Rhinolophus ferrumequinum: one gene and its partners. The protein of the gene in region 1 purifies or fractionates together with the protein of each later gene. This does not show direct contact. Links are inferred from orthologs where the notes say so. Each region holds a gene or a part of one and is shown in the gene's direction. Other genes may lie near its edges.

Region 1 (6,922 bases):
ATCTCCCCCCATAGTCTTTTTGTTTGCACATATCTTGTTCCAATGGTAAAATGAGGATAACACCAGTGATGATAGCAACATACTAGAACTGTGCAAGCAATGGGAGCTTTGGAGTCAAATATGTGAGTTCAAATTTGCCTCTGCCATGTGTTAGCTGAGCTACATTAGGCAAGCTGTACTGATTCATTGAGCTTCAGATCCCTCTCCTGCGTGGTGGCAATATTAATACTTATTACTTAGAGTTACTGACAGCCTTGAACAAGACAAAAGTGCCTGATTCTCGATAAATAATAACTGTTATTATTACCTATCAGAGTATAAACTTCACAAAGGTGGGATTTTTGTATGGTCTATTGATGTAGTCCCAACATTTAGAATAATACCTGCCACAGAGGAAGTACTCAATAAATATTTTTAAAATGTTGGATAAGTAACATTATTGCTAAGACCTCTTTCAGCTCTTCCTTTTATAAAGAGATGAATCTACACAAGAGGAACTTGGCCACAAAACAAAGTACACCTTTGTTTTGTCTAAAGAGCCTTTTTTATTCTCTTTTACCTAGATCTTATTACTCCCAGAAACCAATGCACAAGACATTTGCAATACTTAGCTCTATCAGGTCTTGTCTCCCTAACTAGACTGTAACTCTTGGAAGGCAGGGACTGTTTCTTCCATACATTTTGGGGGGTACATTTTTGGTCATCATACAATTTATACATATTACTTATCTAATTCCTCCACCAAACTTGTGAACTAGCTTAATGACTGGATTACAGTAGGTACCTAACAAGTTTTCACTGAGACAAGGATCCAAATAGTAAGATTTGGTCAGGAGTCTCCATCTCCCACAGGGAAACAACTCATTGGGAATGAGTTGTTGGGAGCCATATCTTCCTCCCTAAAGAACCCTCTGCCTCCTTGTACATTTGCAACCTTATGAGGACCTGATCCCCTCCTGAGTTTGTATTGTTAGACTCGAGAGAGGCAGCCTAGGAGAATAAGTTTTATGACTATTGTAAGAATGTTTATCGTTTCAATTAAAGCCTATTCAGAAAATGCTTCTCAGGTATCCTCTGTGAGCCAGGCACTGTACTAGGTACTGGTAAGGATGTGGGGAAAGATGCAGAAAGAAATAACACATGCATGGTCCCAGTCCTCAGGAAGCAAATGATCCAAGAGGTTCTAGATTATAGAGACAAGCAAGTGCTCAATAACTATAATAATAGCAATAATTCACATTATTAAGGTGTAACTCTATGTCAGACACGATTTTAAAAGTTTTACCTACAGAATCTACTTTTATCCTCATAATAATTCTGAGAGTAAAATATTTTCATTATCTCCACTGGACAACTGAGGCATCTAGAGATTAAAGAACTTGCCCCAAGCCGCAGAGCTGTAAATAGTAGAGCTGATAGCCAAACATGGGCAAGCTGACTTTAATGCCTGTGCTCCTATGAAAAATGATAATAATTAGGGAAATAATTTGAAAACAGATATTAGTCTCTCTTCAACTCTAGTTTTCTTTGAATCAGAAAATGTCTCCTCTTTCTTCACCCTCTATGGCCACATGTATAGTTATATCCCTTTTGCTGAAGGGGGCTTGAGATCCCTACACTGCTCTAATAGAATCATGTATTGCTGGAAATACCCTCTGTTTAGCGTTCAAGCGAATCCTTTCATTTGTTTCAAGTGTGTCAGGGTAACTGGGGGTTTGAGAAGAATCAGGTTTTTTGGGAAGGACTTGGAGGTGGGAACTCAAGAAGACATTGTCAAAGCTGGGAGCTGGGTCCAGGGGAGCGTGCCTTTATTCAGCACCGTGGACAGAGCTCCCAGAGTCCTCAGGACCCTGGACAGAGAAGCTGGTCAAGCCTGCCGGAGGGAACAAATCTCACTTGAGAGCAGCTCAAGCGAAACCAGAGCGCTAAACATCCTTTTCCCTCGCTTCTTCAGCTAGACCTCAGTCACTTGAATTCAGTCATTCCTGAATCTTCGGGACAGAGGTACAGGGAGTGAATATATTTTTAAGGGCGCTAATAACGGGAGGGTGATAAGACTCTTAGGTGGGGAGGATTATACACATTTAAATGGCTTTGGTGGTTGTTCTCGGGGAACTCTTGCAAAACCTAAATTAGGGTCCTCAGTTGGGAGTAGTGATTACTAATGATATTTGTTAATGATAAGTATTTTTTAGGCTGAGTGGCAAAGGGCTACAGTTCTTATTATCACCCATCGCCCGTCCCTCGTCCCTTACACTCAAGTTTCAGTCTCCTGGAGAGCACTACATGTAGGAAAGAGAATCTCCACAGCCCCTTGCTCTCCTCACCATCTTCCCCTTCCCTACCCCCACTCCTCTCCTTTCTCTTTCTCAAATACACACGTAAGCGCGCAGAGTGAAAAGCACGAGACGTTCTGCACACTTGATGGAGAAGATTGAATTCAGAGCAAGCAGATGCCCCCGAAAGCAGGCTCTGTCCCTTTAAATGGGTTGTAACAGTGGGGGAGGGGAACTGGCCGGAGCTGGCATTGTCCAGTTTGAACTGAGCACCGGAAGTGAAGGGGCAGGGCCAGGGCCGTGCACTGAGCCCCGGGCCATTGTCCATCTCCGACCAGGGCACTAGCCACCCCCCTGACCAACACTCTTTATCTCCTAGAAGGGAAGGCTGCCTCAAAATGAGGAGATCCCCGACTCCAGTTCTCTCACCAACCCCACTGCGGGGAGAGAAGCACACTTTAGGATGGGACTCTGAAACTGAGGGTCTGGGAACCTGAGTGTCTGGAGCACTGAAGGAAATGCCTGGACCCACCTACCCACCTAGCCCCTCTCCCTGAAACGGATAGGGACAGGATGGGGATAAGGGCAGGATAAAGACAGCTGGTGGAGAGAGGAACACACGTCAAGCCTCTTTGGGTTCCTCCTGCTCTCACAGAAAGCTCCACATGGGGTCAATTTTAGACACAGATTTGGAAGGAAAGAAGGAAGGCTTCTTTACACAGTCAATTAGGAGCGCTTTGAGAGGTCCAGAAAAACTCAGTCGGTGACTCAGGGAGGCAGAGACATTCAGTTAGAGATAGACTTTGAGAGACAACGCCTTGGTCTGGACTGGAGATCAGCCCTGTCGGGTCTCCAGCCTCCCCCCTGCTTCCCATCGCAGGCTTCCTAGTGTCCTGAACTCCAGGTCTATCTAAGCACACGAGGGTGGGGGGTGAGAGCGGGTCAGCGCGGAGCAGCCGGGTCAGCTCCGAGGCCTGTAGGGGAAGGGAGGGGGAGGGGCGCTCAAGAGCTGGGGGAGGGGGAGGGATCATCCATTTCTCCCTTGACAGGTGGTTTGTGTCTCTGATTGGCCAGCGCTGCCAGGCTCACACCTCCCTCCCCCAACTCTCTGGAATGTATAATTATCTGCGCGGGGGGTGGGGGTGGTGTGTGAGTGTGTGTGGGAGCAGTCACATGGTTTTAAAACTAACCCCCTACAAGCCCCCCACCTGTATGCTGCTTTGGGGACCCCCAATGAGTCCTTAAAGTGCAGGATCCCAAATCCAGGGGTACTCAAGACTTCTAGGGCTGACGGGCTCCATCTCCAGTTGTGCTCGTGGGGAGGGGGTGTCAAACCTCAAGGTTCTGAGAAGGGACACCCCAGAGGTGTCAGAGACTGCAGTAGTGGGGGAGGGCAGGAGCTGGAGCCGGAGGGGAAGGGAGGGGAAAGAAGAGGGAGGCGAGGGGAGGGGGCTGCCCGCGGGGGGTTGGGTCATTGTCTTTTAGAATTTGGGAGCCTTTGAAAAGCCGTGGGCCCTCCCACCGCTATTGTGCTGGGGAAGATGTAGCAGCCTCTTCTCCGAGCCACCCCTTTGCCTCCCGACTTCTCTGGGGCCAGCAGCCACCCGACCTGGGGCCCGGGCCGCGGGCTTAGCCGACTACCATGGGCTCTGTGTCAAACCAGCAGTTTGCAGGTTCGAGCTCGGGACTTATTGGGGACACCCTAAGCTGCAGGGTCGCCCAGGAGCCACATAAATGGGAGGTGGGAAAGTGTCCCCCAGGCTGGCCGAAGGCCCCCAAGTCTGCGGCCTCCTGCTTCAGGGGGCCATCTGTGGAGTAAAGAACCCTGGTGTCCCAGCGGCGTGCACACCAAGGCTACGAGGGCTGGGGGAGAGAAGAGGAGGGGCCTGTCCGGCGGTCTGTCCCCGGGCAACGTGTTGTGGGAAGAGGAGCAAAACTTTCGGGGCACCACTGGCCTCTCAGTGTAAGCTTGGGGAGCGCGGGAGGCAGCCGGGACAGGTCTTTTAATCGCCGGCTGCTTAGTAGTTGCAGCCTCTTGGGTGTTCAGCCGCGGGCTGGACACTCGGGTCTCCCTGCCGGGCCTCAGAGGGTCCTCCAATTCCGTGGCCCCCCAGCTGAGCGCCCTCCCAATCTCCAGGTGGCTGCGCCAAGGCGCCGGAAGAGGCGCCGGAGGACGCGGCCCGGGCGGCAGAGGAGCCGCAGCTGCTACACGGTGCCGGCATCTGCAAGTGGTTCAACGTGCGCATGGGGTTCGGCTTCCTGTCCATGACCGCCCGCGCCGGGGTCGCACTCGATCCTCCGGTGGATGTCTTTGTGCACCAGGTGAGATCGATTCTGGTAACTTTGGCGGGGAAGGGGGTGTTGGCGCGCGCATCCAAGGGTGGGCGGACGGACTCGGCTATTGGATTGAGGGAGATCGAGAGCCCTCATTGTGCGTTCCCATCTTTGTGGTGGCACCCCAGTTCTGGTCCCCGTTAACTCCACGGGGAGGAGAGTGTGGGGCAGAGCCGCTGATCAGCACCTCCCACCCGCTTCGGGGAACCCCTCTGACTTACCACGTGTCTGTTACCTTTTTCCCCTATGAAAGGGGGCAGGGGCAGGGAGGTGACCCCATGTGGCAGAAACTAAGGTTGTATTGTGCTTGCCGCTGGGGGGAGGGCGAGCAGGCCGGCCAGGGAAGCACATGCTGGGCCATAGCAGGGCCCTGAGCGCCCAGCGCCTTTCTGTAACATGTGAATGGAGCTGGGGGGCGGGAGAGGGAAGGAAAACTCTCTGGGATCCAACGAGGGTAAAGCTGAGGTCAGCCGGGTCTCCTCACCCAGGTGGTCACCCGAAACTCAAAACTCAAGCCCTGGGGCCTATGTGGGTTTGGCAGATCCTTGAAGGATCTATTTGGGGGCTTGAAATTCCTCCAAGGTACGGATCTCAGGCACTCAGTTGGCTGGGCTTCTGCTGTCCAGTTCCTACCAGGAAGGAAAACCTAAGGAGCCCAGGCCTTAGATTCCTGGGCCAGGCTGGGAACGAGTTAGGTGGCAACACCAAGTTCTCAGTTAAAGCAAGGCAGCACAGTGGGGGTGAAATTCAGTGTCGCAGGGCAGGGGGTGGAGGGAGGTTAGCCTCTGGACCTACTCTCCTCAGCTTGCCATTTATGGCCCCAGACAGCCATTCATTGCGGTCCTAACATTCCGGGCCTCAAACAAGGAGCCAGAAGACTTCAGGTTTCCCTGGCCTCCCCTTACCTCTCACCCCTTCCTGAATGTCTTGAAAGCATTCCGGTGGTCCTGGGACACCAGCCACCCATAACAACCACGTAAAGGAAGTCACTGCCTGTGTTTCCTCCACTGTTGGAGTTTTAGGGTTGGGCCTGGGAAGAAAATTACTAATCCCAGGCCGAGTAGGTTGGCACCCAGGCCGGGCAGGGAGGGGTTACTTCGGGAGGTTGGCTTTAGGATCCATGGGGGAGGGGAAAGGAGGATGTGGGGATTAAGGGTTGGAGCCTGAGGGATGGTATTCTGGAGGGGGAGGGGTAGTGAAGGGAGATGCTGGGTGGACTGGCTGGGGGCCCTCAGTGAGGACCTAGAGTGGGGGAAACCAGGGAGATAGATTGTGCAAGAAGATGGCGAACCCCACAGTTAGTGTTGGGGACTTGGTGTCACTGAGCTTCTTGAACATCTGCCAGGAGGGCCTGCAGCAGGAGGATGCTCACCTACCTACCCCACTAGTTGCACCCGGTCTCACCCCCTCCATCAACTAGTTCTGGCTGGTGACTTTGCCCCCTTTCCTCTCTCATTTACATATGTGAATGATAACCCACAGGAAGTAATTCTGGGAGAAAGAAGGGAATTGGCCTCTTTAGATCTATTAAATCACTTTATTACAGGAACCAGCTTTGAATGGCCCTCCTCAGCAGGGTGGCCAGCTCCCCCTTTCTCCCATTTATTTGATCACAGAGATTAAAATCTCTCCTTGTCTGGAGATGGACTGGACAGCTTCCCCAACTTTGGGAGATTTGGAATAAGTGAGACCCAACATTTTCTTTCCTCCATTCCTAAGGTTGCTAAATAGGGAGGGGCTGAGGGGAAGGAAGCTTCTCATCACCTGGGGTTCCTTGGTGATGTGGGGAAGGAAGAAACTTGAACCTCAAGATTTCTTTAAGCTGGTCTAATAATCAAATAGACATTAGATTAGCAAGAGAGAAAAACCAAATTTAATACATACATATGTATGGGAACTCCGCATACATGAGACAGATACCTCACACGCACAGGAGGTTCAGAGATAGAAGGGAACAGGAGTATATAAGACATCCTTAGCTAGGGATGAGGTAAGGTACTTTGGGGGCTTCAGAGGGTCATTGCAGGAATATAAGAGCAGATGTTTAGTAAATGGAAGATTGTCCTGCTCTATAGGTAGATTAAAAGAAGTTATCTCTGATAATCTCTTATTATAAGCCAGGCCCCTACTTCAAGTTCTTCTAGGTAGTTAAGGGAGGGGCAGATGTCTCTTTTGAGGCCCCAGCTAAACTTGCCTTTATCTATATGAAACAATCCACGTACCACAGAACCACATCTTGGGGTGGCTAGTTCTGAACCCCCACAGTGATAACCAAATCCCAATAGCAAGTTGATCTGTGCCTCACTGTACTT
Region 2 (7,822 bases), on another chromosome or scaffold:
TTGCTGTGGTTACAGTTCCTATATTTGACCCCATCCTTAATTTTGTTACATCCTCACAGGGTTGGTTGCTCATGGGCACTTGGGCTGGGGAAGGGCGGGGACTGTCCCTCTGTTCCCTTTCTCCAGTTCTGAATCAGGCCCTGCCCATTGTTTCCTTGCAGATTATCAGCTTCGTACCAGCTAGAAGGGAGAAGAGGTGGGAGCGTGAACATGGGCCTCCCTCCCCTTAGTCCTTGACTGCACACTTTAGAGGAAGGGAGGGAGGGGATGTGGGGAGGGTGTATGTGAGCAGGCCCTGGTTGGCTTAGCAGTTTCTTGCTTCCTGCTCCCAGCACCTGGCCTCCTCCCGGCCTTGTCCTTTACCCAGAGGCTGGGAGGGATGGTCTCCCTACCTCCTTCTGCCTTCGGACTCCCCACTTCCACTTTTATATGAAGAAAGAGAGGAGGGGCTTGAAGGCCCCCTCAAAAGTGCCTTCTTGCCAGTAACCTGTCTTAGGGGGTATTGGAGCCCCTTCTCCTTCACAGCTGCTGAGCCCAGAGGCCCACCCCTCTACGTTTTAGAATGGCATTAAAAAGATGAATTTAGCCACTGTGTATGTTTCTTGGCCGGGGACTGGGGATGCTAGGGACTGAATTGCTGGGATGGGAGTGAACAACAAATCTATTCCTCAGCCCTGGTGATAGGTCATCTGGGCTCGCCCAGCTGCCTTCACCTCCGACCCTTGGCTCCGGACTTCCCTCCCCCACCACAGTCAATTCCCCTCATAGCCGCCAGAGGGCGCTATGACTTCTAAGTCAGATCCTGGCTCCTCTGCTCACACCCTCCCATAGTTCCCATTTTGTTAAAAGTCAAGTCCTCCCTGCAGCCCACAAGCCTGATCTGCAGTCCCATTCCACAACCTTCTCTTTACGTCGCTCTTCCTGGACACAACAGGGCCTTTGCATTTGTAGTACCCTTCACCTGGCATGCTTTTCCTTAGATATCCACATGGCTTCTTCCCGTACCTTCAGGTATCAAATCAATGTCACCAACTCAGGGTGGCCCTCCCTAAACTCTATTTCAATGGCCTTCCTTTCCCAAGAGACTACCACTTACTCCGTTTTATCAGCTCCTTAGCGTTTACCACTCTGAAAGGACTTAATTGTTGTCTTCTTTCGCCCTAAACGTAGACGCCCCAGACGCAGGTGCTGCTCGGCTCGCTTAACAGTTGGGCGTCTAGTACACAGTAGGTGTTCAGTAAATGTTCGAATGAAGACCTCTGTAAGAATCACCTCCCAGGCTCAACCACGTGGCAGCTGCAGCATGAACTTTCCTCTTCGCCTTTACACTTGCTGTGCCAGGGCTAGCTCAGTCTGAGCCAGAACATGATTCCTTCTTTCACCCACTCTCATTTTCCCGTTTTATTTTCTTCACGGTGTTTAACGGTATCTTAAATTATTTAGGTGCTTGAATGTGCGCTCCCCAGCGCCGGTAACGGTTCCTGCTGACGGTGGGTGAATGAAAAAACGCTCCGCGCCTCGTAAGGGAGAATAAATGCTTATCACCGAGTGAATGGTGGAACCCTGGACTGGGCAACCCCAGTCCTGCCTCCCTTTCCCTCGGAGGTGCAGAGGTCCTGGAGCAGCCCGCGCTACCATACCCCTTGACCTTTCTCCCCTGGGTCAGTTAAACCGGCCCTCTTTCCCGCGCGCCAGGCGCGTTTGAAAAACCGAAAACCCCGCCGTTGCCGGCGGTCCACCGGTCGCCGCCTCTCGACCAATCAGGAGCGGCACCGCCCACACCGAAGCGCAAAACTTCCTCGGCGACGAGTCGCCATTGGCTACGCTGGATGTGTGGGCGGGGCGCCGCAAGGTCGCGCCCCGGGCAACGCGGCTGGGCTACTATGTAGCGAGTTCATAAGAAAACAAATCCGTGGCGTTAGGGGGCGGGGCCTCGAGCACGCTGGCTCCTCCTCCCGGCTGTCGGCTAGGCGGCCGCATCGGCCGCACTGGCTCAGAAGAGACCCCGCCCGTCGAGGAGGAGGGAGGGTGAGTTGGGGGGAGACCCAGCCCCCAAGGGGCGGGCGCCGGGTTGGGCACTGCGGGTGGCGGAGGGTTGGGCCCAGCTCCCAGCCCCTCGCGACCCACCGGCTGACAGAGGGGAGGAGCCCGCCTGGAGGGCAGGGGTCGCACCGGAGCCTCCGACTGGCAAGCCGGGCCAGTACCCTGGCTCAGGCCGGGCGCGCCGCCGGAGGGTTGTTCGGGCCAGCATCCGTGGTTTGTCCCGTACTGACCGCGTTGGGGTGGGGCGGGGGGCTTCGCAGGCCGCCAGTGTCGATATGCTGCTGGAGGAGGTCCGCGCCGGCGACCTGCTGAGCGGGGCCGCGGCCCGGGGCGACGTGCAGGAGGTGCGCCGCCTTCTGCACCGCGAGCTGGTGCATCCCGACGTCCTGAACCGCTTCGGCAAGACGGCACTACAGGTGAGGCCAGGCCGGCGGGCAGCGAGAACTGGGATCCCATAATCTGGCCCCAGTGGTGGCTAATTGGGATCCGGTCCTCCATCTCTGGGCTGACGTTGCTCCCTGAGGTCCCCTTTCGTAGGTGGGTGGTGGATGGTGTTAGGATGGGGGAGGGGAAGTTTTTCTGTCTCTGGAGTATTCCTTGTTCTCTGGGCGCCGGGGATTCGGTTTCCCTGGGGAGGTTCTTATTCCATGAGTGAGGGTTCAACTTCTTTGGATCCCGGTTTCATGGGACGGCTCTGGTTTCTTTGGGCTTCTATGGGGGGATTCCATCGATGGAAGAAGGGATTATCTGAGAGGTATCCAGTTTCTTTGCGGGGCGGGGGTGACAGGAATCTCCATCCCTGGCTTTTTTCAGATTTCTGGTATATTATGTGAGGTTCCAATGGAGGAACAGTTACAGATTGCATGGTAGTCCTCATTCCGTGCGAGTCATTTTATAAGGGAACCCCATTTCTTGTGGGGTCAGGTGCTCAGGGGTGCATTCTGATTATATGGGAGGGGCTATCCCTTTGAGAAGGGGTTTCTCCTTTCCCGTGAGGGGGCTGTCAAGTTCTTTGGGGAAACGGTTCTCATTCTATGAGGCCAATTTCCTGGAGGGGGGTTTATATTTCCTGGTAATTTCCCTTCTCTGAGGGGTGTTCTCTGGTTCCTTGGGGGAGCTTCTAAGGTTCCTTGAAAATTCCTACAGGGGCTATTCCCTAGGGGGATGTTTTATCTTTAGGGGAGTGACCAGTTTCTTGGGGGTCCCTATTCCTTAAGAGACCTTGTTCTCTAGGGTCTCAAACAGCTGCCCTCAAGGACTTGTGTTCCCTGGGCTTTCCTCATTCTCCAGAGGACCTCTTCTCTGCTGTTCCCTATTTGTGAATGACCCCTCTCTCCAGTGACCCCTTTTCCTGGAATCCCTCCCTTAAGGACCCCCTACACTCTGCCCTCGCACAGGTCATGATGTTTGGCAGCCCCACCATCGCCCTGGAGCTCCTGAAGCAAGGTGCCAGCCCCAATGTCCAGGATGCCTCTGGCACCACTCCAGCCCATGATGCAGCCCGCACTGGATTCCTCGACACCCTGAAGGTTTTGGTAGAGCATGGTGCTGATGTCAATGCACCTGATGACACTGGGGCGCTCCCTATCCATCTGGCAGTGCTAGAGGGCCACAGAGCTGTGGTCAGCTTCCTAGCTGCTGAGTCTGATCTTCATCATAGGGATGCAAGGGGGCTCACACCCCTTGAGCTGGCACGGAGAAGAGGGGCTCAGGATCTCATGGACATACTGCAACGGCACACGGTGGCACCGCTGTGACCTGGGGCCACCCACTCCAGCAACAGGACCCAGCTGGGTTTTATGTCAGTAAAGGAGGAAAGAAACACTTTCTCTTCTTGCTCCTCCTGCCCACTGCCAAAGGTGGAGGGGCACCAGTTTGTGGCTTATTGGTGTTGATTTCTGGGGGGTGTGTGTTTACGGGGCATTTCTCATTTGTTTTTCTCACCCCTTTTGGTGTGTTGGGCAGAGAAGGGCTCCAGCAGTCAACAGCCACCTAAACGGTTCAGTTTTCTTCAAGCCCCATACTGCTGGGGCTGCAGATGAGTCCCAAGGGCAGAGCGTTTAAAGCTTCAGCCCCAGAGTGAGGTCATCGCTTCCAGGGCTCCTGGAACCTGGCGACTTTGGCTGGCTGTACCCAGAGACCTCAAGTGTGCACACTGCTTTCAAGCATGGGGGGAGGGGGGAGTTCCAAATGAATAAAAGGGTAGCATGAGTTCATATTTTGTTTTCCAGTCTCTTGTACAATGTTAAGAAAAAGATTCTATTTATTAAGCTTTATGGAAAAAAGTTGTGTGTGATAATTTAATGTTTTTACCCATTAAATTAAGACTTGTGCATGATCACAGCGCTGGTGGCTTCTGATTTTTGAGTCTGCGATGGAGAGTCGCACGTCCAGGATGTTTGTGGGGGCGGTGGGCACGGGGGTCGTGGCTCATGGATGCTTCGGGGAAGGGGAGAGAGTGGTAATTGTCAGGGCACCACGGTGGAGTGCGCTAGGTGGAGCAGCGGTTTGCGCTGTCGGAACGGAAGGGAGGCAGGAAACCGCGAGTGGAGAAAGGGCCCCCAGATGTCAGCTGGGTGCCGGAGCTCCGGGGGTTGGGTGGGGTGGGCGGTGGCAGCAGCCTTCCCCGTTGAGGCGTAATCCGTGGGCGGGGGCTGCGGTCAAGGGGCGTAAGGAATCCCGGAAAAACCAGGGGTGGGGTTAAGCGCTGCCCGCGAGTCTCCGCCCTCTTTAAAGCTCGCGTTTGGGCGGGGCCAAGAGCAGACCTGCCTCCTTGTGAGGGGCGGTGCTCGCGGTACGCGTGCGCAATGGGCCGCAGAGCCGCCATGCCGGAGTCGCGCGGGCCGTCACCCTTGCGGGTGAACGCAGCGTTCGCCGCGCGGTATAGCCGCTACCGGGAACGCGAGGAGCTGCAGCGACGTGAGTGCAGGGCGCATGCGCGCATAGCGCCGGCGCTGCAGGTCGTCGGGAAGTGGGGGTGTTGATCTGATCCCCCCAGGCTGATTCAGGGGGGCTCCCGTCTGTGCCCCGCAGTGAAAGATCGCTACCAGGGCCGAGACGGCGGCGACGACTCCAGCTCCGAGTCAGACTCCAGCGACGAGCGCGTTGTGAGCTTCCTCATCCCGCTCCCGGACGTGCGGGAGGCTTTCAAGCCCCCCACCGCATCCTGACCCCTACTACAGGGGGTGGCTAACCCCCGACTCCATTGCTTCCTGCCAGAGCGGTTAACCCCGTCCCCAATCCCATGAGGGATAGCGCCCTTCCCTTCCCCAGGGGGTTGCCAAATCCCCCTCGTCCCCCTCCCCGGCCAAGTGTCCATCTGCACATACTGATGTATTTTGTGCGACCCCTTTGTCCTCCATTTACTCTTCCAAGAATCTAACCATTTCTGTGTCCTACTCTGTCCCGGAAGTGGTACATCTCTGCCTCATGGGGTTGCTCCCCACATCTACTGCATCTTCCCACCTCACTGTGCAGCCCAGCCCCTCCTGTTGTTCACTATGTGCTCTCTCTGCCCACCTTCCCCATGTCAATCTCTTGTCCCAGGAAGTACCCTCCCTTTGCCCCACTACCTACTTCTGTCTCTTACCCTGTACTTAGGTGTGGCCTGCCCTCCCTTCTCCCACTTTCACCCAGCCACACTGGCTTCTCCAGTGGCATCCCCCTTCCTCCTAATGTATACCCCCCCCACCACCCTAATTCCAACACCTTCTTAATTCAACTGCCCCGGTTCTTTACTGCCCCCCCCTTGAAGTCTCTCACCGATCCTTTTTCTGCCCTAGGAATTTGACCCCCAACAGGAGCATGACTTTTACAGGACTCTCTCCTTGTTGAAGAAAAAGGACCCCCGCATTTATCAGAAAGATGCCACCTTCTACCAGAGAACAGGTCTGAGGCTGCTCCTTCCCAAGGCCCAGGTTCCTCATTGCCTTATCGTTTGTTGTGACTATATAAGGAATCATTTTATGTCAAAAGTGCTTAGCAGAGGGTCTTAGGTGTGCTTGGTACTGTTCAGAGCATGAGTTACTCACTGAATGATCACCACCAGGTACTTACTGCCAGGAGGTAGCTGGTGTGATACCTGTTGTATAGCAGGGAACTGGTGGCTTTTAAGCCTCTACCTGACCTAGCCCAGCCCAGTGGGATTCTCTCCCTGGGAAGGAAGGGGGTTGTGAGTGATGGCAGGTGTCTTCTGGTGGCCCTGCAGCAACGTCCTCGGAGAGCGAGGAGGAGCTGGCAGCCGAGAAGCAAAAGAAGGTGCGGCCCATGTACCTGAAGGACTACGAGAGGAAGGTTATGTTGGAGAAAGAAGGGTGAGGAGAAGGCTTAACACATACCACCCCCTATCCCATCTTCCCAAAACAGTCAGACACATGGGGAGCTTAGGGACAGGGGTGGGAAGAAGCCAGTGACTCACCAGAATTGAGGGAACCCCAGCGAGCAGGCCCCTTGGTAACTGCCTGTACCCCACTGGCTCTTCTACCTGCTACTCATAAGCATCCTCACCCCGCTGGGATGGACAGGCTGTGGGGAGTCTGTTTTGAAGCCCCCACCCTTCCTTGCACAGCAAATATGTCGACGAGGAGAATTCAGATGGGGAGACCTCCAATCAGAGACTCCAGGTGGGTGGGGTGGAGGCCGGGTGTGGGCTGAGGGGCCCGAGGCTGAGCCTGAGGCCCACAGCATCCTCTCTGCAGCAGGTTTCATCAAAAAGTTTCGTGGAGGAGCAGCAACAGCTCAAGGAAAGGTGAGCTGGCGGGGCAAGTGCCCAAATGGATAGCATTTGAGGCTCTGGGGTTGAACAGGCCTGGGTTCAAATCCTGTTCTGTTGCTTAATGGCTCTGTGTTCTTGGGCATGTTACTTGTTCTTTCCATACCTCAGTTTCCTGATCTGTTAAATGGGCTTGATAAGGCCCTCTACGTCTTAGAAGTACTCTGAGCTTGTGAACAGGGTTAATCTTGGGGCAGTGGGCAGGGGCCAGCCGACCTCTCCTGAGACTTGTTCTCTTGTGTGAGCAGCTTCCGGGCATTCATGGAGGACAGTGAGGATGAGAACAGTGCTGGAGAAGGTGGCTCTGGGTTGCTGCAAAAACGTGCCAAAACCAAGGAGGAGAAGGTGAGTGCTGGGGCTCTGCTAGACCCAGGCTCGTGGCAGGGAGCAGGCGCTGGGGTTCCTGCAGACCCTGAGCGCTGGCCTTCCCCTAGGCCCAGGACCATGCTGACTATGTCGAATGGCTGAAGGGGCAAAAGGAGATTCAGAACCTTGAGACCCTGAGAGAGCTGGTGAGTTTCCACACGTAGTCGTTGAAGGACTGTAGTGCCTTTCCCGCCTCTAACCAACCTTTTTCCAGAAACCAACCCTTGAAAGGGTAGCTAAGAACACATACTCTGGAGATAGGGTGCACCCATCTCTGGGCCTGTTTTTACATCTATGAAATGGGGATACTGCCTCCCATCTACTTTACAGGCTGGCTGTGAAGTTTGTCACTTGAATCCACTTAGTACGCATGTTTGCCTTCCTTCCCTGTGTCCGAGGCTATAACGTGGGTCCTGTCACTGCTTCACCCCCCAGACTCACCTCAAGGAATATTGGAACAACCCAGAACTGGATGAAGGGGAGCAGTTCCTACGGGATTATATCCTCAACAAACGCTATGAGGAGGAGGGAGATGAGGAGGAGGAGGAGGAGGAAGAGGAGGAAGGGTGAGTAGCCATGTCCCCACCAGGGCCCTGGAGCCAATACTAGCCAGAAAGCAAGAGGTACCAGGTGTTTACTTTT
Region 3 (7,219 bases), on another chromosome or scaffold:
AAAATGTCTGCACCACAACGTTAAAAGAGCCTGGATCCCTGAATGATGATGTAGAAAAGACTAACTCCTACTCCCCAACCCCCACCCACATAAATACATTACATAAACACATTTGACATAGATGAGACATAAGCTTCTGTATTAATACTTGAAGTCTGGGGATTGTTCATTACAGCAGTTAGCTTACCTTAATATAAATGATGTCACCAAGGTCTAAGAGCATCCATTCCATCCTGTCCCCAACCCCCATACCAGCCCCCAAGTACCTCTACCTACCTGGCAGGACGCTAATCAAAGTTTTCATTTTGTTTTTCTTATGGCCACTGGTTTGTAGGACTGGAGGCAGAGTAGATGGCTTGATTTTCTGCTTGGACTGCTGCCATGGAAGATAATCCTACCAAACATGACACAATCAGTCACACAGCCTGGTGGGTTCAGATCCCAGCTTACAGATATTTGTGGCCTTCAGCAAGTGACTTTACTTCTCTGAGCCTCAATTTTCTCATCGGTAAAGTGAATCTAATTAGAAAACCTACCTCGATAGGTTGGTGCAAGGATCCTGAGAGGTATTTGTAAAGCATGTAACAAGTGCTCCACAAATGTTGGCTATCATCCTTTTTATCAGCCAGCCAGAACTTACTAAGCACATCCAGGCTGTGAGAGGTGCAAAGAACTGTGAGAAACAGAAAGCGCAGAAAAGACCCAACAGGGAAGCAGAGTTGCAATCAGAGATAAATAAGAGAACAGCATAATATACCCTTACATTCTGATAAGGTGGTGAGAAAACTGAAGTTCAGAGGCATGCCCCGGGTCCCACAGCAAACGTGTGACACAGCAAGGCCTGGAATTCAGGTCTCCAGACTCTCTCACCCCGGAGGGTCACCACTGCCGGGGTGGAGGGCAGATGGACTCCAGGCCCAGGGTCAGGAAGTCCCCGGTCCCCGCCCTAGCCCTCCCATACTCACCGCAATCTGGGACTTGTGGATTGTGGAGCGACTCCCAAAGTGGCTGGGTCTGGAAGAGTGAGGGCAGGAAAGAACTTCCTTCATTCCCAACCCCTGGCGCTGCAAGCAGCAAACATGAAACAGTCCTGGGGTCTAGACCCCAAAACCACAATGCACTAGAAACACGATCCAAGCCAGTACCCAGAGAACAGGAGGGCGAGGCGGGGCTAGGGAGATGTGGGTGGAGAGAGGGCGGGGTCAAGAGACTGCGGGAGGACCGGCCAGAGAGGTTTGGGGGGGCGTGCACGCGCACCCCGCCACCCTGCAATGCTCCTTTTACCTACTTCGGAAAGACACGTGCCATTGGGGAAAACATAAGAAGAGTCGTGAGTCCGTGAGGCCCTGATCTCTTGGGATGCCTATTTATTCCACTTCTCCAACTTCCTTGTCTCAGAGTGGATCGCGCAGTAACCTCGGCCACTCAAACTTAACGAGGCCAGACGCTTCCTCGTGTCTCCGTCTCCAAGGAAACGGACGCAGACTACCGAGCGCCTAGAGGGACTAATCTCACAGGGCAAAATGTAGCTTTCTCCACATTCTTCTCAACTTGGTTTCAAATACCCCTCAGCTGGCCCCGCCCAACATCCTAAAGAATTATGTCATATTTCTCCTCTCATCAAACCCACATCACTTCCTTCCCCCTCCTTACTCTTGGCTAATTAATGACTGTGCTTCCTATTTCACTAAGACGGCCGTGGGGATCAGTAAACTCACAAGGTCACATCACCTCATTTATTTACCCACCTACTTGCCTCCCTCCTGTAACTATGTATAAACTGCCTACTAAGACTGATTCCTACAATTGTGCACTGAGTGCTATCCTCTCATCTTCACTAAGCTATTGCCCCAGCAATTCTCTCCTTTTTTCCCATCATCCTCTCCTCTGCATTACTCCCATCAGCATAACATGTTTTAATTTCTTCTCTTTTTAAAAAAGTGACTACTTCCCATCCAGCTTCCCTCCCATTTCGGCTTCACTTCACAGCAACACTCCTAGAGAGGTTTCCCTACTCTACTCATATTTCCCATTCCTTTCTGCCCCTTCAGTTAGGCTTTCACTCTCCACAGAAACTGCCCTTGTCAATGCCACCAGTGGCCTCCACTTAGCTAAAACGCATGGTCATCTCTCAGTCCTCATCTTACTTGGCCCATCTGCAGTATTTGACACAATGGACCACTCCGTCCTTGACACACTTCCTAAACGTGACATCCAGGAAGCCACGTTCCTACCTCCTTTTCTGGTTCATCCTCTTCTCCCTTTATTATCAGATTGCCCCAGGACTCAGATCTGGCCCCCTCTTTTTCTCTATCTGCTTTCACTCCATGTGCTCCCTTCTAATCTTGTGACTTCAGATGCCATCTCTACCCAGACACCTCCCAGACTTACATCTTGAGCCTCTCCCTTGAATTCTAGACACCTAAGTCCAATGCCTGTTAGCCATCTCCACTTGGGTACCTAGTAGGCAACTAAGATGCAATCTTTCCCCAGAAACATTTTTCCCCAACTCAAAATGACAACTCTTCCTGGAGTCATCCTTGATTTATCTTTTGACTCATCTCTGATCCCACATCCAAATCTGTCAGCAATACCTTTGGAGTACATCTAGTAGCAGACCACTTACTACCACCATCCACACATACATATACCCTGCTTTCCTCTCACGCCTGGATTACAGTCTTTGCTCCCACTATTGCCCGACTCCAGGTCTCTCTCCACACCCCATGTTGCTAGATAGAGCATACATTTAAAAGTGCATTCCAGTTTAATATAATTTGAAGGGAGCAAATAATTTGAAATCACCTAAAGTTCAATAGGAGAATGTTACTAAAGAATACTAGGTCAGAGCTCACAACTTTTCCTCCTCTTAAAAATCATAGGAAAATGTTTTAAAATTGCACTACACATTAAGGTAAACAGATGAGACTGTAATCAGCCTGGGGACTCTGGCCATCTTGGACTCGAGGACCCTCTTGGCTGCTCCTAGGGCTGAGGAAATCACCATGTGGGGCACCCCCATTTACAGAGCCCACTGTACCACAGCACTCCAGCAGGGGAGCTCTATACCAGGAAACAGTTAAAAAGTAGGAGGTAGTAATCAATATAGGGAAGACCCTGGTGGACACCTACCCCACAGCCATTTCTCCCCTCCACCCAGCTAACACCCCTGATCTTGTTCAGGTATGCTGGCTTTAGAGGAGGCAGGCCCCAGCCCCAGTCCCAGTTCCAGCTTCAAGCAGTCATGACTGGTCTGAGCTAGGCTTGGTGGGCCCATTTCCCTTGCCAGTTACAGGTTTAGTCATAAGGCATGTGATCAAAGTCTGGCCAAGGAGACAGGGTGAGAAGTCTATTCAGAGAATTTTGGGCAAGATTTTTATCACACTTAAAAAGAAAAAAAAGACATTGCAGAAAAACATTCCCTCATCTGCAGCTAGATACTGTCATATCTGTGTGACATTCCCGGAATTGTGGAACTGTGAGGGGAGTTACCTGGAGTAGAGGGGAAAGTGAAGGGAACCTGTTCCTTGATAGCATTGTTGAGCCATTAAATTAACAATTCTGTAACCTATCTAGAAAACCCGCTGTGGACCAAGCTCTTTAACACAAGTTATCTCTTTGAACCCCACATTAGTCATCTGAGAGTAGATATTAATATCCCTTTGTTATAGATGAGCAAATTGAGGCTATGAAAACTGAATTCATTGGCCCCCATGTGACAAGGCTGAGATTTGAAGCAGTCAGATTCAAACTAAGGTTGCCCTGACTCCACAATCCACCTTTTCTTTCACTAAAGTCAAAAAGGTCGCTGAAGCACCCTGAAATGCACAGATATGCTGAAAGAAAACAAAGCTGACAAAAGGTGGTATTAAACCCAAACTTTTTTTTTTTTTTTTTAAGATTTTATTGGGGAATGGGCACAGGACTTTATTGGGGAACAGTGTGCACTTCCAGGACTTTTTTCCAAGTCAAGTTGTTGTGCTTTCAGCTTCAAGTTGTTGTCCTTTCAGTCTTAGTTGTGGAGGGCACAGCTCAGGTCCAGGTCCAGTTGCCGTTGCTAGTTGCAGGGGGCAGAGCCCACCATCCCTTGCGGGAGTCGAACCGGCAACCTTGTGGTTGAGAGCCCGTGCTCCAACCAACAACTGAACCATCTGGGAGGCAGCTCAGCTCAAGGTGCTGTGTTCAATCTTAGTTGCAGGAGGCAGAGCCCACCATCCCTTGCAGGAGTCGAGGAATGGAACTGGCAACCTTGTGTAAATCCACCCAAATTTTATCACTGCTTCCAAAGCATCAGTTAAGACAGATGAGGGAGGAATAGAGATTCTGTCCAGTACTAACTTTAGCCAGGAATCTGTGTATTAAGGAGTTGTGTATTAAGGAGGTTTCCTGGAGAGTCTGAGACAACTAGTCCTTGATCCACGATGGCAGAAGCAAAGCGGTTTAATAAATATAAGCCACTTACATGTGGGGCTGCCTATTAACTCTGCCACTTGGCCAAATGATTTAAAACCATCTCCAAAACCATGCGTCCTGTAAAATGTGTAATTACAGCATTGTTTTGGAAGATCCCATGTGATAAAACTTGCAGAGCTTAGAACAGTAGGGCGCACTTAAGCCCTCAATATATTATAATTGTCATCATAAGTACCATGGAGATCTTTCTAAGAAACAATGCAATGACCTTAGAAATGTATCAAAAAATAACAATAAGGACTGATGGATATAGATGTGGTGAGATAAGGTATAGTAAAATGTTAATAATAAAAAGTTGAAATAGTAAAAAATTAAAGGGAAAATGTTCACTGTAAAATTCTTTCAACTTTCTGTATGCTTGAAAATGTTCATAATCCAACGTTGGGGAACAAATGCATTGTGGTGCACTTTAGGAGGAAGGAGAGCTAAGTTCTGTTCTTGTTTTTAACAAAAACGGTATGAAAAAGAAAAATGAGCGAGCTCTTCTCAACTCCGTCCCGCCTTTGGGCTGTGGGCCTTTAGTAATCCTGCTTAAATGAAATCATCGAGAACCGCTTGCGAAATACCAAATCCTCGAGAGCAAGGCCCAAGGCTGCCAAAGCCTCGCAAGGGACAGGGACGCGCTCCAAACTCCCCCATCCCGCGTCGGTGCCGAGGAGGCGGGGCTGGAGCGAGCCCTGGCGGAAACATGGCTCGTCCGTTACCAGGGGGTTCTCGGCCGACTCTGGCCGCCTGGCGCTGCGTGTAAATATTTTTTGGCAGGGCGGGGGAGAGAAGCATCAAATTTCTGGGGGGGTGGGGGAAACCCACCCAAACCCCACCGCCCTGGCGGGCGGGCGCGCGCGATGGGCGCACTTCGGCTGCGGGAGTGAGTGGAGGATGCTGGGAAGGAGGTAAAATGGCCACCGGCGGCGGCGCCGAGGAGGAAAGGAAGAGGGGGCGGCCGCAGCTCCTGCCAGCCACGCGCCCAGCAGCCCGGGCCGAGGAGGCCGAGGTCGGCCGCGAGAAGATGGGCTGGGCCCAGGTGGTGAAGAACTTGGCCGAGAAGAAGGGCGAGTTCCGCGAGTCACGACCGCCGCGGCGGGAGGAGGAAAGCGGCAGCGGCGCGGGCGGCGCACTAGGCGCCCCCGCGAGCCTGGCGGCGCCGGGCCTCAGTGACTTTCCCCCCGCGGGCCGCGGGGACCCGAAGGGCCGCCGGAGAGACCCGGCTGGCGAGGCGGCGGACCCCCGCAAGAAAAAGGGCGCAGCGGAGGCGAGCAAAAGAAAGAAGGCCGAGACGGCGGCCATGGCGTCCCCAGCCAGGTCCGGCGCAGCCGAGGACGAGGCAGAGCTGCCCCCCCAGGATGAACCGGTGGCGTCGGTGGGCCCAGCGGCCGGCCCGGGCAAGGGCCGCTTCCTCGTGCGCATCTGTTTCCAGGGAGACGAGGGCGCTTGCCCGACCCGGGACTTCGTGGTGGGCGCGCTCATCCTGCGCTCCATCGGCATGGACCCGAGCGACATCTACGCGGTCATCCAGATTCCCGGCAGCCGGGAGTTCGACGTGAGCTTCCGCTCGGCGGAGAAACTGGCCCTGTTCCTACGCGTCTACGAGGAGAAGCGCGAGCAGGAAGACTGCTGGGAGAACTTTGTGGTGCTGGGGCGGAGCAAGTCCAGCTTGAAGACGCTCTTCATCCTCTTCCGGAACGAGACCGTGGATGTGGAGGACATCGTGACCTGGCTCAAGCGCCACTGCGATGTGCTCGCCGTACCCGTGAAAGTGACCGACAGGTTTGGGATCTGGACCGGGGAGTACAAGTGCGAGATCGAGCTGCGCCAGGGGGAGGGCGGGGTCAGGCACCTGCCTGGAGCCTTCTTTCTGGGGGCCGAGCGGGGCTACAGCTGGTACAAGGGGCAGCCCAAGACGTGCTTTAAATGTGGTTCCCGGACCCACATGAGCGGCAGCTGCACGCAGGACAGGTGCTTCAGGTGCGGTGAGGAGGGGCACCTGAGCCCTTACTGCCGGAAAGGCATCGTGTGCAACCTCTGTGGAAAGCGAGGACACGCCTTTGCCCAGTGTCCCAAAGCAGTTCACAATTCCGTGGCAGCTCAGCTCACCGGCGTGGCCGGCCACTGAACACCCGCCTACCTGCCAGGGTGAACACAGAGCCAGCTTACCCCTCTTAAGTGCCAAAACTTTTTTTTAAACCTTTTTTAAAATCGCGTTTGAAGGAGATCTTTCTAAACCTACAAGAGACATCTCTCTCTGCCTTCTTAAACCGAGTTTACTCCATTTCAGCCTTTTCTGAATTGGTGACTTTCATCTGTAACGACTACCGAGACAGTAGTGTGGAGATGTGTCTCCCCTCCCGTTTTTTTTTTTGTTTGTTTGTTTGTTTTCTGTATTGGGGGACTTTTGTGTGTGTATTTGTTACTCCCCACGCCTTGTCTTCTCGAGTTTTCACCTTTTTAAGCTGCCTCGGGCTGCCTTGCTCATCTTTATGCCCCAGCACTAGGTACGGGGGCCCAACACATGATAAGCACTCCATCAGTGTTTTGTTGACTTAAGAACATTGTTGACTGTGGCTTTTTTAATATGCTGCTTCTAATCTGTGTGGTCTGAGAATTTGTAAAACCAGTGTTGTTAGAAGTGTATGTAATCTGAATCAATAAGCTCTGAATGGTGGCCAGGGGCCTGTCTTAGGCATTAAAACACATGGACTTTGTGATAGCTCTTTCAGTGGCTCAGAAGCCATTTTTCATAGAATCT
Region 4 (7,886 bases), on another chromosome or scaffold:
TTACAAACGTTGCAAAGACACCACTACCTGGAACACACCACTGTAGCTGTTAGCTTTTTCAGTTAGTGAAATTAAATATGATTATTCGTTTGTTTTGTGCTTCCCTAAGCCAAACTTGTATTTATTTTTTCTCACCGTCTCCACCAAATGTCCGTAAAATTAGAACATTTCAGCTACAGAAATCGCTAATCCTTCAAGGTCGGTCTCAGCTTCTTTGGTCTTAGGACAGCTTCAACGAAAATATTGGTCTCGGCATAGCTGATATTACCCGGAGTTTTTCGTTTGCTTTTTTTTGGAGGGGTTGTTTGGTTTTGCTTGTAACAATCCCGTGGACCACAAAGGGGGTTAGAAAAGGAGGGGGCTGAAAGAGTGGATTTCTCTAGAAGCCCAGGAAAATTCAGGCATCTAGAGACGTATTTTGCTGTTGTAATTTAAAAAGACGTATACATTCTAAGATGTTGGAAACGAAAGAAACGGTGTGACTTCAGCTACTTAGCATGGCGCAAACCCACGACCTCCGGGCGCTGGACGTTGGGGGAAGGGAAGGGAGTCTGCGGGCACCATGCGGTCAGCCCAAGGGGCGGGCTCCACACGCACACGCAGAACTATTTTCTACTCTTCCTTAGTCATCTCCCCTTTTCCTCTTTGGGGGTTGGGGGGCTCACAGTTAAAGGGCAGGAAAAATGAAAGCACTAAGAGGGGAACCCAACCTCAACCCTAAGCAACAACAGAACCAATGAGAGGGAGTAAAGGGTTATTTTCGCGCCACAAAAGATGGAAATCCAGGGGTGGCTAGCGGGCCAATGAATGGAAACCAGCAAACGGCTCCGGCGGAGGCAGCCGACGATGATAGGCTCCCTCCATCCACCAATCGGGTGAGAGTCGAAGACCCCCGCCCCCTCCCCAGCTAGGGGCGGTGTCTCTCTCCACGCCGGTTGCTCAACTTGGTTTCTGCGAATCGGCCCCCGTGCTGCACAAAACCCCGCCCCGGGGCCGCGTTTGCGCGCCCTGGGCGCCTGTCTCACTGTCCCGCCCCGCCCCGGGCAGAGGCGCTGGGTTCAGCGAGGGCTTCTTGCGGTCTTTTTCCTTGGGTACCAAACATTTCCCAGCGCAAGGGAGCCCCTCGCAAAGTCGAAACAGGCTGGGAGCCCGGGAGGTCTGCTAATCGCACGCTGCTTGATTCGCCCCCGCGGGCCACGGAGGAGGACCTCAGGTGGCGTCATACAGTGAGGGTAAAGATAGAGGCGCCCCCCGACCCCCAAGTCTAACCAGTCCACGCAGCTCCACGCGGACGGACAGAACCCGAAGCGGAGCCAGAAGGCGCCTGTCCCGCGGCAGAGCCAGGGCCGTGCAGTGTTCGAGGGCCTCCGAGGCTAGCCGGCGGCCGACGAAGGATCTTCCCCAGTGTGCGCTGCAAGGATCCCGCCCTCTTTCTCCCGGCAGAGCCAGGAGGAAAGGAAACAACCCCATCTTCTCATCTTCTGGGGCACCATTTTTTATTTTAAACAAAAATAACTGAAGGCAGGTTCAGAAGAGGGCAGAGCCAGGTTACTACTTATCACGCATCAGGTTTAAACATCAGAGCCCAGGAGAGCTGGTTGAAGGAGCAAGAATGATGTTAAAAATACGTCGTAGGAGGCCCAGGCGACGCGGCGAGCATTGCGTGCTCACCCGAGGACTTCGTCTCCCGCTTGTCCCCGAGGCAGCGGGAGTTAGGGGTAACAACGAGAATTTCCTTTCCCCCTCCTTTACCTGCTCAGCCTTCGGTCATTACCTGTGGATACCGCAACGGTAACCGACCTTCTAAAGAGCTTTTTTCTCCTTTAATATTACACTCACCCATAAACATTTTTATTGCCCTTCGGTCAGCAGATGAGGAGGTGCAGCTGTCCAAAGAGTAAACAGGCTGCAGTTGGAAAGACTCAGTCGCATCAGAGCACATACAATGGGTGGGAGTCCTTCGTGAAGTTAACATTAATTAGGAGCTGCAACTGTTTCAGGAAGAACTTGGAGTAGCCCATATACATAGTTAATTTCTTGTGGGAGATTCATTAAAAGATTGCGAGTTAGATTGACTTTATATTCATTTTTGAAAATCCACCAAAGTTATTTTTGCAGTTGAAATGCCAATAAAAAACAATTACCCATGCTCTTTTTACTCAGCCATTTAGTGTATACTTATCTCTCAGTGCTTGGAAGAATCGAAGTGGACTGTGTCCACCTCCCTTTTTGATGTGTGAGCTTATATAACTCGTGTATGTTTTTAAGGTCCTAGACGGAGTATCCAGTTTGTTACAATAATACACAGATTAAGTTCACAAGAGTCCTAGGAACATATTTCATCAAAACAGCACACACTTGTTTTAAATTCCAGCTGTTAGATTTGTTTGATAGTGACAGACAAGCATGGGCTAGTATTTATGGAAAATAAACAATTTATCCCATGCTTTGGAAGTAGATATTTCCTTTGGTCTCAGTTTTAATAGCAGCAAATTCAGTCAGCAATCCAGAAGGTACCATTCAACTGACTTTGGAAACAAGCTAAACATACAAAATTTGTTTTTATGAAAATCACTAAATGCTAAATTATCAGAAGACTCGTTTATAACATTTAAAGAAGTATTTAGAAAAACACAAATGAATGAAAAGCATATTTTTCCAAATAGTTTTTGAGCGCATGCAACAGGTCCATGAAAAATAAATTCACAATTTTTGATATTTTGAATACCACAGAAGTCATAAATACATATTTTTTTCTTTTTTAGAACCAAAGTTCTCTTTTTAAAAACATCAAAAGGAAACAAGCTCCTTTTAAAAGTTAAACCTAGCCATAAACTTAAATTTTCACCAAAATGTTCAAGATAGAGCTCACAAAACAATTCTAAACATTATACAAAAACACATTTGTCCTCTTTATCTGATAAAGTAAAAACATTTTCCTAAGTTAAACGTGAATGAAAATACTGTGAAAGTGAATTTACGTTTAAAAAGTTGGATTTGCTTGCCAGGAAAAAAACCTAGTAGAAAGAACAGTTGCATTTAAAATGGATGATCTGACACCTTCCGGTTCCTTAACACAAAATTACAAAATAAGTTTCTCTTAAAAGAAAAAAAACGTAAATACTATTTATATCATGTAATAATTCCCACATACTTAAAAAATCACCAATCATCTTTTTATTGGAAAATATACTTTTAAATGCCATGTACGGGTTTGACAAAGGGAAATTAACTATCAATTGTCATAATTACTTCAGCTATTTCAGTGTAAATCACAATAGTGTCTATTACACAACACATTTTCCTACTAGTAAGAGTACGAAGTGATTAAATAGTTTTGTATGTAATTCTATGCTATATAGAATTCCATTCACTTATTTAAAATAAGCATTTTGTTTTTCATGGAATACCTGTTAAAAATATACCACAAGTATCTGGTACAAGTGAAGCCTTTGAGTGGAGTAGACAATCATTAAACGACATTTGGAGATTTCCAGCACTGCGTTCATTTCCGTATTCCTCGTCTCCAGTCCACATTTTGTTGCCCAGGAAGGCTCCACCGGGCCCAGACCCTCCCCCTACACCCAGCATTGTACTCGTTACGTACAAGGGAAATTCTGAATGGTTCTCATGGCCAAATGCGGGCAGAAAAGAGGCAGAAAGAGACTCGAATAATTTTTCAAGTGCGAATAACACCTAGGGGTAACGCAGAGCGGTCTCTCTGTTTTAAGAGTCCCAAGTTCTCCAACTAAAATTATTTAAATGAAAGTACGAGCCTACCCCACTCCTCCTCCTCTGGAAACTACAGGAAGATATGGTTTCCGTTTAAATACCGACTTTTCCCACTCTGTCTTCTCTGCTCCGGCCTCCGGGGCCCCGGGACGCCCCTATCCCCACGCCAGAAACCGCCACCCTTGCGCTCCCCTCCCCCACTGTTGGCCAAGCCCGCCCCCGGCCTCATTTATCCCAGAGCCTTTTCTGAATCGCGCAACCAATGGCAATCGCGAAGCCGAGAGCCACTGCGAGCGCAGGCGGAGGCGGAGGAGGTGTCGCCCAGACACCCGCCCAGGACGCCGCGGGCTCCCATCCCCCACCGCCCAGGCTTGGGGGCCCCCCCCCCTTCCCCGGTGCCCCGGCCCGCGAAGGGTGCAGGGGTGGGGCGCCCCTGCCCGCCTCTCCCGCCCCTATCCACCCTACCCCCTCGCCGCGTTTCCGCCCCTGCCAGCTCTGGAAACGTGCTCGCGGCTTTGCCGAGGTTACACTTCTAATGTCATCCAAGCCACAAGGCGAGTTCGGAATTGTGACTCTTTGCTTTTGTTAATTACCTATTTTAAGAAATCGAATATTTAAAACTCCGGTAACTAGAGCTGAGGAATTGCCTAGTTAGTACCCACACCCCATCTCATTTAAAAAGGAAAAAAATCGATATTCCAACCCTACTCCCCTCCCCCTCAGGATCCGCCCCGACCGGATAACCCTTTCTAAACTCCGTGGTGACAATCAGCTCAAGCAGCCGCGCTCCCCTCGCTCGCCGGCTGCGGCTCCTTTAGCGTTTCCCCGGCTGCCTCCTCCCCTTTTCAGGGTCCCTCGCCCAATCTCCTTTCCCCTCCCCCTCTTCCTCTCGCTCGCTTTTTTTCCCCCGAAACCCACTCTAATTGAGGCGCTGGGATTCCTCACGTGAGACGTTGATTTGTAGTTTGAACACGTGGCTCATTCAAAAAGCCGGACACTCGGAGCGGATTTTTTCCGCCTCCTGCGCCTTCCTCCAACCCGATTCCCCTCCCTCCTGCCAGTCACTCTTGTGGGTTTTTTATGGGGAGGCGGCGCCTGCCCTCACGTAGTGTGATATTTTCACAGTCCTCCGGCCGAAGCTAAAGGGGTTGGGGAGGAAGAGACAAAAAGTAGTTTTCCCCCTCCTCCTTCTCTTCTCCTCCTTTTTCTCGCTAAGCCCGCCTCCTCCTCCGAGTTAGGAAGACTCGTTGATGCGTTTGGGTTCTAGCAAGGCTTTTCAATTTCTCTCTCTTTTTTTTAATACCTAGAAAAGGGAAAACAAGACTCCTCGGATCTGATTTTTCTGTCCTCGTTCTTATCCTTGGTTCTTACTGTGTTTGTGTTTTTAAACGGCGAGAAGACGAAGGGAACAAAACCCTCCGGGTCCATCCATCCCTGTGGGTGGTTTTAATTTTTCTTTTTTTCTCCTAATTCTTTTAAACAACCACTCTTCACAATGAACAAACTGTATATCGGAAACCTCAGCGAGAACGCCGTCCCCTCGGACCTGGAAAGTATCTTCAAGGACGCCAAGATCCCAGTGTCTGGCCCCTTCCTGGTGAAGACTGGCTACGCGTTCGTGGACTGTCCGGACGAGAGCTGGGCCCTCAAGGCCATCGAGGCGCTTTCAGGTGGGCCCCGGCCTGGCCCCGCCGGGCGCCTGCCCCAGCCCTGCGCCTCCGCCTGCCCGGGCCTGCCGGGGTTGAGGGCCCGGAGCCAGGCCCGCGGCTGCCGCCGGCTTGTTCACGCAGGGCTCCGGGCGAAGGCGCGGAGAGGGGCCGAGGCCCCGGCGCCACACGCGTGGGCTCCGGGGTGCTTCCTCAGCTGGGCTCCCACCCGGGCCCCCGTCGCTCCCCTCCCCCCGCCGGGGGTTTGCGGGCGCAGGGCGGACGCGCTGTCAAGAAAGCTCGGGCGCGGGCTCGGAGGAGGAGCGGGGGACCGTGGCGGGGCCCGGGGAGCGGCGCCAGCCGGCGCGGGACCCTCAGCGCTCGCCCCGCGCCCCGCCCGGGCCCAGGCGCGTGCTCGGGCTCCGGCACGCCGGGCCTCGGGGGCCGGCCGCGAACGCCTGCCTCTCCCTCCCTCCTTCCTCCCTCGCTCTGCTGCTTACTTATGGCATTGGAGTCGCTGCGCCGCTCCCGCCCCAGACCCCGGCAGTGGGGGAACGCGGAGTGGCCTCGACCCGGCTGCGGAGTGAGGCCCGCCGCGGGCTGGTGCTTCGCACCGGAGGCCCCGCGCTGCCTCTCCACACTGTGGGAGGCGGGTGAGTGCGACCTGGGTTCCATGCTCCGCCGTCCACGAGACAGGGGCAGGTGGACAGGGGCGGCCTGTGGTCGCTAGGTAGGGACCCGCTGTTCTCCGCACCCGGCCACCGGCTGCGGCCGCCGGGGGTTTCGGGACGCGATCTGCGAGGGCGGGGGACGGTGGGTAGGGGGGCAGCGGGCCCGGCCGCCCCCAGGGGAAGGCTGTGCTGGGGTCCCTCTGGGATCCCGGAGGCTTTCGGTGTGGTGGGCGCCGCGCTGTCCTTCGTGCGTTGTCCATTGGATACCGAAATGCACCTCCGGGCGTTCGCTCCTTCTGCACCCTCTCTACTGTCCTCGAGCCTTTTCCTCCGCTCCCTGTTCCCGGAGGGCCCGGGCGCCCCCTCCTGAAGAGAGCCAACACAGCCCCCTCTCCTAAGTTTGTCTTGTGTGTGTGTCCAGGGAGGTGGGCGGAGGGGCCGCGTCCATCCTGCGACTGTCGTGGGGTTGGGTGACCCCCCTCTGGTGGGCGGGGGAGCTCTGCCAGTGGGTAGACTGTGACTGAAGTAGCGGGGCCGCCAATCGACTCCCCTCCTCACCCATCTGTAAGTTACACACACAGCCGGGAGGGGGTCAGCTTCCCACCCGCGCGGTGCCGGGCTTCTCTCCCGGTCTTGAGTCGCGTCCGGATTCCGTTTGGGGGTCTCAGGAGGCCACTTGTGTCGCCGCTCAGAATGTGCAGGTCCTTTGGGCGCGGAGAGCCGCTAAACCCGGCCAACTGTCTTCCTCCTCTTGTGTGTCCGCAGGTAAAGTGGAACTGCACGGGAAACTCTTAGAAGTTGAGCATTCGGTCCCTAAAAGGCAAAGGTGAGCTCATTTATTCTGTTCTCGCCGATTCTGTTCTCATTCCAGTATTGGGAGGAAAGACTATCAACACAGCTGAAAACAACTTTTCCTCTTGTACTTATTGGGCGGCTGTATGGCGTGGCGTTTCTCGACTTTTTCTCTTGTATTTAAGTGTATGGCAGGTGTGTTTGCGTGGGTAATGCTGCAAAGGAAGAGAGGGCTTATGTGTGGCCTCTGCCACTGGAGTAGTGTTATTGGACTAAGTCTCTCGAGGAAGCTCTCCCATCTCAGTATTCTCTGGTAGAGGAGGGCAAGTTGCTTCATCAGGAAATCAGTCGGAGGGCAGTTTTTGGGAATCTGTAACTCTTGGGAAGCAATGGGTGACCCCTCCCCCACCACACCTATAAGTACAGGGTAGGCGAAAGCAGCTGTGGACACACACGAGTGTGTCCTGCCTTTCTTTCTCTGTCCTAAGCTGGCGGCGACCAGCCTGAGAGGCCAGCCCCAAGTCTGAGGGGAGAGGGAGTGCCTTTACCCTGTTAGCTGGCCAGCTGGGATTGGAACACGTGAGTGAACCTCTGGCCTTCTTCTGCCCAGAAGCGCCTTGCACGCACTCCGGAGGCAGACAGGTTTCTGCAAACCGGTCTTTGTCTCCCGCTTCTCTCCCCCATCCTTAAAAAAAATATTTTTGCTTACGAATTACCACCAAGAGATCGTGGAGACTAAAGATTTGTGCTACTTCAGCAAAGGGATTGCACTTTGCAGAGAGCATGTGTCGTGTGTCATTTTATAGAATGTTTGGAGGCTGTGTTTTAACCTCTAGAGTAATTGGGAGAAATGGCTCTTTTCTCAAGAGCAGGCCAGATCCCTGCTCTGTAACTCTAATTGGAAAGGTGCTGCACCCTCCCAGTGGTGCTAGGGCTGGCCTATGCCTTTCTGGGTTTCACAAGGTGGGGTTAAGGTTCCTGCCCTTTCCCTTCCCATCTCCCCACTCCTAACCTGGGCCAAACAATAACGGGGAAGTTAATTTAA

Evidence for each region.
Region 2: the proteins of LIN28A (region 1) and KRI1 purify together in Homo sapiens (affinity purification with mass spectrometry; 3 studies listed by BioGRID and IntAct, with this or other methods). This does not show direct contact. The link is inferred for Rhinolophus ferrumequinum from reciprocal best matches to the Homo sapiens genes LIN28A and KRI1.
Region 3: the proteins of LIN28A (region 1) and ZCCHC3 purify together in Homo sapiens (co-immunoprecipitation; 3 studies listed by BioGRID and IntAct, with this or other methods). This does not show direct contact. The link is inferred for Rhinolophus ferrumequinum from reciprocal best matches to the Homo sapiens genes LIN28A and ZCCHC3.
Region 4: the proteins of LIN28A (region 1) and IGF2BP3 purify together in Homo sapiens (affinity purification with mass spectrometry; 4 studies listed by BioGRID and IntAct, with this or other methods). This does not show direct contact. The link is inferred for Rhinolophus ferrumequinum from reciprocal best matches to the Homo sapiens genes LIN28A and IGF2BP3.

Annotation. Positions count from the first base shown.
Region 1 is NC_046292.1:18,088,814-18,095,735, forward strand, and holds the start of LIN28A (protein lin-28 homolog A), read left to right. Parts: upstream 1-3,918; coding exon 3,919-3,949; intron 3,950-4,413; coding exon 4,414-4,598; intron 4,599-6,922. UniProt on the Homo sapiens protein: RNA-binding protein that inhibits processing of pre-let-7 miRNAs and regulates translation of mRNAs that control developmental timing, pluripotency and metabolism.
Region 2 is NC_046301.1:39,742,229-39,750,050, forward strand, and holds the start of KRI1 (protein KRI1 homolog), read left to right. Parts: upstream 1-4,804; 5' UTR 4,805-4,850; coding exon 4,851-4,962; intron 4,963-5,076; coding exon 5,077-5,150; intron 5,151-5,825; coding exon 5,826-5,931; intron 5,932-6,250; coding exon 6,251-6,356; intron 6,357-6,610; coding exon 6,611-6,665; intron 6,666-6,740; coding exon 6,741-6,790; intron 6,791-7,062; coding exon 7,063-7,159; intron 7,160-7,248; coding exon 7,249-7,326; intron 7,327-7,615; coding exon 7,616-7,746; intron 7,747-7,822. Other genes in the region: AP1M2 (AP-1 complex subunit mu-2), read left to right, coding at 162-184; CDKN2D (cyclin-dependent kinase 4 inhibitor D), read left to right, coding at 2,319-2,459, 3,441-3,800.
Region 3 is NC_046306.1:23,262,178-23,269,396, forward strand, and holds the start of ZCCHC3 (zinc finger CCHC domain-containing protein 3), read left to right. Parts: upstream 1-4,210; 5' UTR 4,211-5,371; coding exon 5,372-6,586; 3' UTR 6,587-7,219. Other genes in the region: C23H20orf96 (uncharacterized protein C20orf96 homolog), read right to left, coding at 277-394, 966-1,049.
Region 4 is NC_046303.1:17,191,668-17,199,553, forward strand, and holds the start of IGF2BP3 (insulin-like growth factor 2 mRNA-binding protein 3), read left to right. Parts: upstream 1-4,878; 5' UTR 4,879-5,227; coding exon 5,228-5,402; intron 5,403-6,814; coding exon 6,815-6,875; intron 6,876-7,886. UniProt on the Homo sapiens protein: RNA-binding factor that may recruit target transcripts to cytoplasmic protein-RNA complexes (mRNPs). This transcript 'caging' into mRNPs allows mRNA transport and transient storage.